Linked DNA regions of Tribolium castaneum. The protein of the gene in region 1 purifies or fractionates together with the protein of each later gene. This does not show direct contact. Links are inferred from orthologs where the notes say so. Each region holds a gene or a part of one and is shown on either strand. Other genes may lie near its edges.

The links. Proteins that work in one complex are often made in the same cells at the same time.
Region 2: the proteins of P58IPK (region 1) and shv purify together in Homo sapiens (affinity purification with mass spectrometry; 3 studies listed by BioGRID and IntAct, with this or other methods). This does not show direct contact. The link is inferred for Tribolium castaneum from reciprocal best matches to the Homo sapiens genes DNAJC3 and DNAJB11.

What each region holds. Positions count from the first base shown.
Region 1 is NC_087398.1:4,237,057-4,241,024, forward strand, and holds P58IPK (dnaJ homolog subfamily C member 3), read left to right. Parts: upstream 1-1,214; 5' UTR 1,215-1,312; coding exon 1,313-1,412; intron 1,413-1,459; coding exon 1,460-1,570; intron 1,571-1,626; coding exon 1,627-1,826; intron 1,827-1,878; coding exon 1,879-2,817; intron 2,818-3,006; coding exon 3,007-3,153; 3' UTR 3,154-3,347; downstream 3,348-3,968. Other genes in the region: Uxs (UDP-glucuronic acid decarboxylase 1), read left to right, coding at 1-190, 239-559, 913-1,148; RpL35A (large ribosomal subunit protein eL33), read left to right, coding at 3,661-3,968. UniProt on the Homo sapiens protein: Involved in the unfolded protein response (UPR) during endoplasmic reticulum (ER) stress.
Region 2 is NC_087398.1:6,633,852-6,637,374, forward strand, and holds shv (dnaJ homolog shv), read left to right. Parts: upstream 1-1,432; 5' UTR 1,433-1,558; coding exon 1,559-2,356; intron 2,357-2,404; coding exon 2,405-2,615; intron 2,616-2,667; coding exon 2,668-2,732; 3' UTR 2,733-2,950; downstream 2,951-3,523. Other genes in the region: zinc finger protein 239, read right to left, coding at 1-31, 79-355, 400-1,135. UniProt on the Homo sapiens protein: As a co-chaperone for HSPA5 it is required for proper folding, trafficking or degradation of proteins.

The DNA.
Region 1 (3,968 bases):
GCTAGTCCCCCCCATTACATGTACAACCCGGTCAAAACCATCAAAACTAACACTTTAGGTACAATTAACATGCTAGGCCTTGCCAGAAGACTGAACGCCAAAATTCTAATCGCCAGCACTTCGGAAGTGTACGGAGACCCCGACATCCACCCCCAGCCCGAGACGTACTGGGGACATGTCAATCCCATAGGTTGGCGACGGTGTCGTTTTTCCCCTTTGTTACTTTTGCAGTTTGTAGGCCCTCGCGCGTGTTACGACGAAGGCAAACGAGTCTCAGAGACTTTAACTTATGCTTATGCCAAGCAGGAAAACATGCAGGTGCGGGTGGCCCGCATTTTCAACACTTACGGCCCCCGTATGCACATGAATGACGGCAGAGTCGTCTCTAATTTTATCCTCCAGGCGCTGCAAAACGACGTAATCACGATTTACGGCTCAGGGCAGCAAACACGCTCGTTCCAGTACATTTCCGACCTGGTCGATGGGCTGGTAGCGCTGATGAACAGCAACTATACGCTCCCGGTGAACTTGGGGAATCCCGTGGAGCATTCAATTAACGGTATTTTTTACCTAACATTTTACTTGTATCTTTAACCGTATTCGCAGCGTTTTAAAAAATACGAGACGAAGCGCAAATTTTGAATTAATAATTTGTTTGCTCATGTTTTTGTATGAAAATTTTATTCGGCAGTTTTTGTCAGTCTGTTAAAGGAGCAAAGCTCAACATTTCTGCTTTTTTTCCACGTAATCAGTGAATTGGTTGGAATTAAAACCATTTGACGCCGAGACAGTATAACGCCTGAAGCGCTCTCTACCGTATTATTTTTTGGGTTCAGAAAATCCTGCTATTTTGTATCTCGCTTCCCCTCCTAAGTTGTAGTCCTCCGTAGTGTCAGGGATGATTATTTCCAGAATTTGCCTCAATAATTAAAGACCTGGTGGGCGGCCGCAGCAAAATCAATCATTTGGCGGAAGTGGAGGACGATCCGCAGCGCCGCAGGCCGGACATCACCCGCGCGAAAAAATACCTAAACTGGGAGCCGAAGGTGGACCTCAACACCGGCCTCCAAAAGACTGTCGACTACTTCCGCCAGGAGCTGCACCGGTTTAAGCACTCACAGAGAAACAAGTTTTTACCGAAATTGTGATAATTGTGGTTTTGTTGTAAATAAATTTTAAAATTTTCGTGTTTTTCTCAATTGGTAAGCCTGCGATGTGCTGGACCAATCAGCGCAAACCACGAAACGTAAATTTGTTGTGTTCGTGTATGTCACAAAATGGAATAAAATCGTTCGTTAAGTGGGTGTAAATAATGTTAAAGACAGTACAAATGGTACAATTAATGGAAACGACACATAAAAACCTCTGGTTGAAGTTAACACCGTATTTAGCGCTATTTATCTTTATTGACCGTAAGTGGACATAACCTCAAAATGTTGCGATTAATTCGGTTTTCCAGTTTCGGAATGTATCAATCAGGCCGAAGTTGACCGGCATTTAGAGTTAGGGAAACAATACTTAGCTAGGGGCCAATTAGGGGACGCCTTGAGCCATTATCATTCGGCTGTTGGTAAATATTTACCCCGACTTCAATAACACCGTTCACAATCAATCTATTTTTTCCAGAGGGCGACCCTCACAATTATTTAACTTATTTCAAACGCGGCACGGTTTATCTCGCTTTAGGCAAGGCCAAGAATGCAATCAGCGACTTTGACTTGGTCCTGGAGATGAAACCAGACTTCACCGCTGCTAGGATTAGTCGAGGAAATATTCACTTAAAACAGGCCAATTATGACCTGGCCCAGTTAGATTTTTATAATGTGGTAAGTAACGACTCACATAATACAGTACTTAAGTACTACAACAAAAACTCAGTTAAAAACAGACCCTTACAACCAAGAGGCCAATGATTTGATTGCACGGATAGACCCAGCCAAGGAGCGAGTGCGTTTGGCTGAATATTATTACGCCCATGATGATTACGTAAACGCAATTCACTTAGTCACGGAGGCCCTAGAGACAAGCCCCTGGGCCCCCCAGTTGTACGAGCTGCGGTCCCAGATGCATATGCACAACGGTGACGAAATGGCAGCTGTCAGTGATATCAGATCGGCCACAAAGCTACAAAGCGATAACACCGAAGGTTACTTCAAGTTATCGCAATTATTATACAAACTGGGGCATGCTTCCGAGTCCCTTAAATTCATAAGGGAATGTCTCAAACTTGATCCCGAACACAAAGATTGCTTCCCATTTTATAAAAAAATCAAAAAAGTTGAGAAATTCCTAACTGAGGCTGAGGCAGCTCTTGAGAACAAGAATTATCAGGAGTGCATTGATGCTGCTCTCAAGGCTGAAAAAAACGAAAAGGAGGTTCAGAATGTTGTGTACAATGCCAAGCGGTTGTTGTGCGCTTGTTATTCGAATGATGAGCAGTCGGAGGAGGCGGTGACGGCCTGTACTCAAGCGCTTGAAATAAACGACGACCCAAATGTTTACTGTGATAGGGCAGAGGCGTATTTACAGTCAGAACTGTACGATGACGCTATTAGGGACTACAAGGCGGCGTTGGAAATGAATTCGCAGTTTGAAAGGGCGAGGGAAGGGCTCAGCAAGGCCGAAAATCGCCAAAAACAGTCAGAACGTCGCGACTATTATAAAATCCTAGGTGTTAAAAGGACAGCTTCCAAGCGGGAGATCACGAAAGCGTACCGAAAAATGGCACAAAAGTGGCACCCCGACAATTACCAGAACGACGAGAAGATGAAGAAAATTGCCGAGAAGAAGTTTATTGACATTGCTGCCGCTAAAGAGGTTTGTTTGATAAAAAATATTATAATCTGTTCATGACTGTTTTAAACACGCTGCAGATGTTTTAGATATTTTTTTAAATTAAATTAGTTTAAAACGGTTTTTGGGTTCAGAAAAGTCTGCGATTTTGTATCTCGTTTTGCCTCCTGAGTTATAGTCCTCCGTAGTTTTGTGCTAACACTCGTTTTTTAGGTTTTGACGGACGATGAGAAGCGAAGACAGTTTGATAACGGGGAAGACCCGCTTGACCCTGAGTCAGGTCGGGGAGGAATGCCCAACTTCCATCAGTTCCACACTTTCCACGGAAGTCCGTTCCAGTTCAAATTTCATTTCAATTAAATATTTTGTGTTGTGTGGCCAACTCAGGATAAGTGTGTGATAAAAATCCATCACGGAATTTGCCAGAACAAGCTTATCTAGTTATTTTGTGTAAAAAGGGACTGATATCATGTACATAAATTAAATGAGTAGTTTTTACCATTTGTCCTTACATTGTACATATTTATATGATAATAAAATATTTATATTACGAACTTGTCTTGTTATTTGAAAGTCGGGCCCCCAAACTTAGTGACTTTACCGTTACCGCGTTGGCAATAACATCGATCTCATTGGCCGACGTTACGACTGTCATTCTTTTTGACAGATTTTGCTTTCGGTAAGTTTGGGTTTGCAACTTTCCTTAAATTAATTAAATCTTGTAAAAATCGGCAAAAATAACCCAAAAGTTGGCCCTAAAACGGTTTAATGTGCCCCAAGTGCGTGTTTTCCCGGGCGGATTGTGTCACTTCGCCCCGATAAAGTCGGATTAACCTAACTTGTTTACATGTGTGTCATTTTGTAGCGATGGCAGACGCAGCAGCGAAGAAACCCAAGGCGGCCAAAAAGGCGAAAGAAGGCGCGGAGAATGTCGCCCCAAAAAAGCGGCCTCATAAGAGACATGGGAGGTTATACGCGAAAGCGATTTTCACGGGTTACAAGCGCGGCCTTCGCAACCAGCACGAAAACACGGCCCTTTTGAAAATCGAAGGCACGAATGCCAAGCCCGATAGCTGGTTCTATGTTGGAAAGAAGTGTGTTTACGTGTACAAAGCCAAGAACAAGACTTGTGTGCCTGGAAAACCCAAGTCGGTGAAGAGCAAGGTTAGGGCCAT
Region 2 (3,523 bases), about 2.4 Mb from region 1:
ACCGTTGTACACATTATCACAAATCTGGCACCTAAAAATAAAATTTAACCACTGTCCCCGTTTTTCACCATAAATTACTGGTATGTTTTCTTCTTGGAAACCCCCAAATGCAGTTTTTCATGAACAGCCAAGTTGTACTTTTCCGCAAACTTTTTCCCACAAGTGCCACAAGAAAATTTCTTCTCGCCAGTATGCACCCTCATGTGTCTTTTAAGGTGTGACGCTGATATCAGCAAAAAGCCACAGACGTCACATTTGTACGGTTTTTGCCCAGTGTGAGTGATTTTATGAATATTGAAGGAGGTGTGGTGAACGAATCTTTTACCACACGTATCACATTGAAACGGTAGTTCCCCTAAAACAACCAATCATTTCCTAGCAAAAAACAAGCGTCCACACCTGTGTGGATGGGTGTGTGCCTCATCAAAGCCCCCTTCTGCGTGAATGATTTGTTGCAGTAGACACACGTGAAGGGATTGATCCCTTTGTGCATCCCTACGTGGATTGTTAAAGCTTGTTGGCGCTTGTACGCCTGGCCACAAATTTCGCAAATGTAGGGACGTTCCTTGCTATGCGCCGACATGTGATTTTTCAGTTCCGTTGGCGTTTTCCAGGTTTTGGAACACTGAGTACATTTATAGGGTTTTGGATCCGTCCCATCCTTCTGTTTTTTCTTCACACTTTCACTTCCCGCTTCTTTCGTAAACAAATCCAGCGTGGACTGAATCTCAGACACCGAACTGAGATCATCAATATTAAAACCTGTCTCCAAATCATGCGTCTTCAGGTGATCCTTGAAACTCGCACCGGGGATTTTTTGACCACACATTGTGCATTCCTCGCTTTTATTGCTCGCTTCTCGTTCAATGTAGTTTTTGTTGGGGCAGTGTTTACGCAAATATTGTTTAAACTTGTTTTCGATGTTCCTTGCTCTAACTTTAATACTGTCTAGTTCATTCAGGAGGCGATAACACATCTCGCAAACGAAATAATTTGTTATGCAAAACTCTTCCTCAGCGCAGTCTTGGAGCAACATCAACAGAGGGGTTCTTGTATCGTTGGAGACCGATTGTCGGAGATCGAAGTGCAGAGTTTCGACAGGACACTCGCACAACGTGCACAGTGGTTGAGCCATTTCAAGAAATCGGCTTAACACCAAGCACCACACCACCACCAATTTTAATTTGAAAAAAATGTATTCACTTGTAAGGTTATGTTTTTGTTTATGTCAACTGTCATCACCCCAAAAAAATATTTGTTACTTAAATCCTCCGAATAGCTTCCTGGTTATGTCAAGAAATAATAACCAGCACGTATTAAGCCCAATTTGCGTTATTTTAATGCCATTTCAATTACTTTTTGCACATTTTTATTGTCAATGTCAAGTTGGTTGCCTAAATCGACCTAATCAAATGTCAGTCGGGGAATTAAATCCACCAATCAGCGCAATCCACATGTTTTGAGAAGGTCGTTTCGTGTTTCTCGCTGTGTGAGCATAACGATAAAAATCCATTAATTAAATTAATATTAATATAATGTTTGAAGTTTTTATCCAAAAATGAACGTGAACTCTGTGCCCGTCTTGCTTTTACTGACTTTCATTTCGGTAACCTCAGTTCTAGCAGGGCGAGACTTTTACAAAATACTGGGTGTCTCAAAAAGCGCCAGTTTGCACGAAATCAAAAAGGCCTATCGTCGCCTAGCCAAAGAGCTGCACCCTGACAAGAACCAGGAAGATCCGGAAGCCTCCCAAAAATTCCAGGACCTGGGGGCCGCCTACGAAGTCCTCTCAGACGAGGAAAAACGCAAGAAGTATGATAGATGCGGGGAGGACTGTCTCCAGAAAGACGGGATGATGGACAGTGGGATGGACCCCTTCGCCAGCTTCTTCGGCGACTTCGGGTTCCCCTTCGGGGGCGGCGAACAGAAGCACGAGACTCCGAGAGGCGCTGACGTGGTGATGGACATCGCCGTGACCTTGGAGGATTTATATTCGGGCACTTTTATCGAAATTACGCGGAATAAGCCGGTGATGAGGGCGGCCAAAGGCACCAGGAAGTGCAACTGCCGGCAAGAGATGATCACGCGGAATCTGGGGCCCGGGAGGTTCCAGATGATGCAGCAGACGGTGTGCGACGAGTGTCCGAACGTTAAGCTAGTCAATGAGGAGCGCGTTTTGGAGATGGAAGTGGAGCCGGGGATGGTTGATGGGCAAGAAACGAAGTTTACGGCTGAGGGGGAGCCCCATTTAGATGGGGACCCTGGCGATTTGATACTTAAGATAAAGACGCAGCCGCATCCCGTTTTTGAGCGCAGAGGGGACGATCTGTACACTAACATCACGATTAGTTTACAAGTAATTGTGTTAAGTATTTAGGGACGAGAGTAATTTTTGTCTTGTTAGGACGCCCTTGTGGGGTTCACTATGGAACTCCAGCATCTGGATGGTCACATGGTTTCGATAAGTAGGGACAAAATCACTTGGCCCAATGCCAGGATAAGGAAGAAAGGAGAAGGCATGCCAAACTATGATAATAATAACTTGCATGGGAATTTATTTATTACATTTGATGTAGAGTTCCCCAAACAAGAATTATCAGATGATGACAAAGAAGGTATTCGCGTTAAAGTTGCCAATTTCAAGCGCTCACCACAATTCTGTTTCAGCTATCAAGAAAATTCTAAATCAGAGCTCAAGAAACAAAGTTTATAATGGACTAAGAGGGTTTTAATTTAATTTAATTATAAATAGCAAGTTTTGTATATAAAAAAGACTATAATGAAGTGTGCTTGAGTGTATTGTGAATTAATTTATTACCTTTATTCTTACTCTGTTAAGGTATGACCTTAAAACCTTTGCCCGTTCATAGACTTTTCTACAGTTTTACGTTTCCTGTTCATTTATCAAATGTAAAGGAAAATTTTGTAATATATTGTACTGTCTTTACCAGTTGTTGTGCTTTTATTCCTCTAAATATTGTTAGGCATGACCTGCATACAAAGTGCCGATTAACACAATAATAGAGCGATATTGTTGGTCAATTTTTGTTTTGAATAGTGGAAGAATTTGTATACAGATATGAACAGCAAGTGGGTGTAAAATAAATATGTTATCAGGTTGCAAGGAAATGGTATTCCAGTGACTGTTAGCAATTTGAGGTTGTTTTATTGAGATTGTTCGATTGTAAGTAATTTTAACACACCTGCTTTACTACTCTGAATAAATAGAAGCGATAATTCTTCCATATTTGAGGCAAATTCGCAAAATTCCAGTTTAATTTAACCAAAATTACAGATAGTCTAGAAAAAACGTCGAAAAAGTCTTTTTATTTGTCTTTCAAAGGCTACGCAATTTTTGATAAACGGTTCAGTAAAACACCATTTTTTAAAAAAATATCAGATAGCTCGTAATCCAACGTAAAATTTTACGACTCAAATAGCCCACAGTCCTCCTCCGGCCTCCGCCCCCCTAAACAAGGCACACAATTTAAAAGTTTAGGTTGCAAATTTTTATAAAATTATT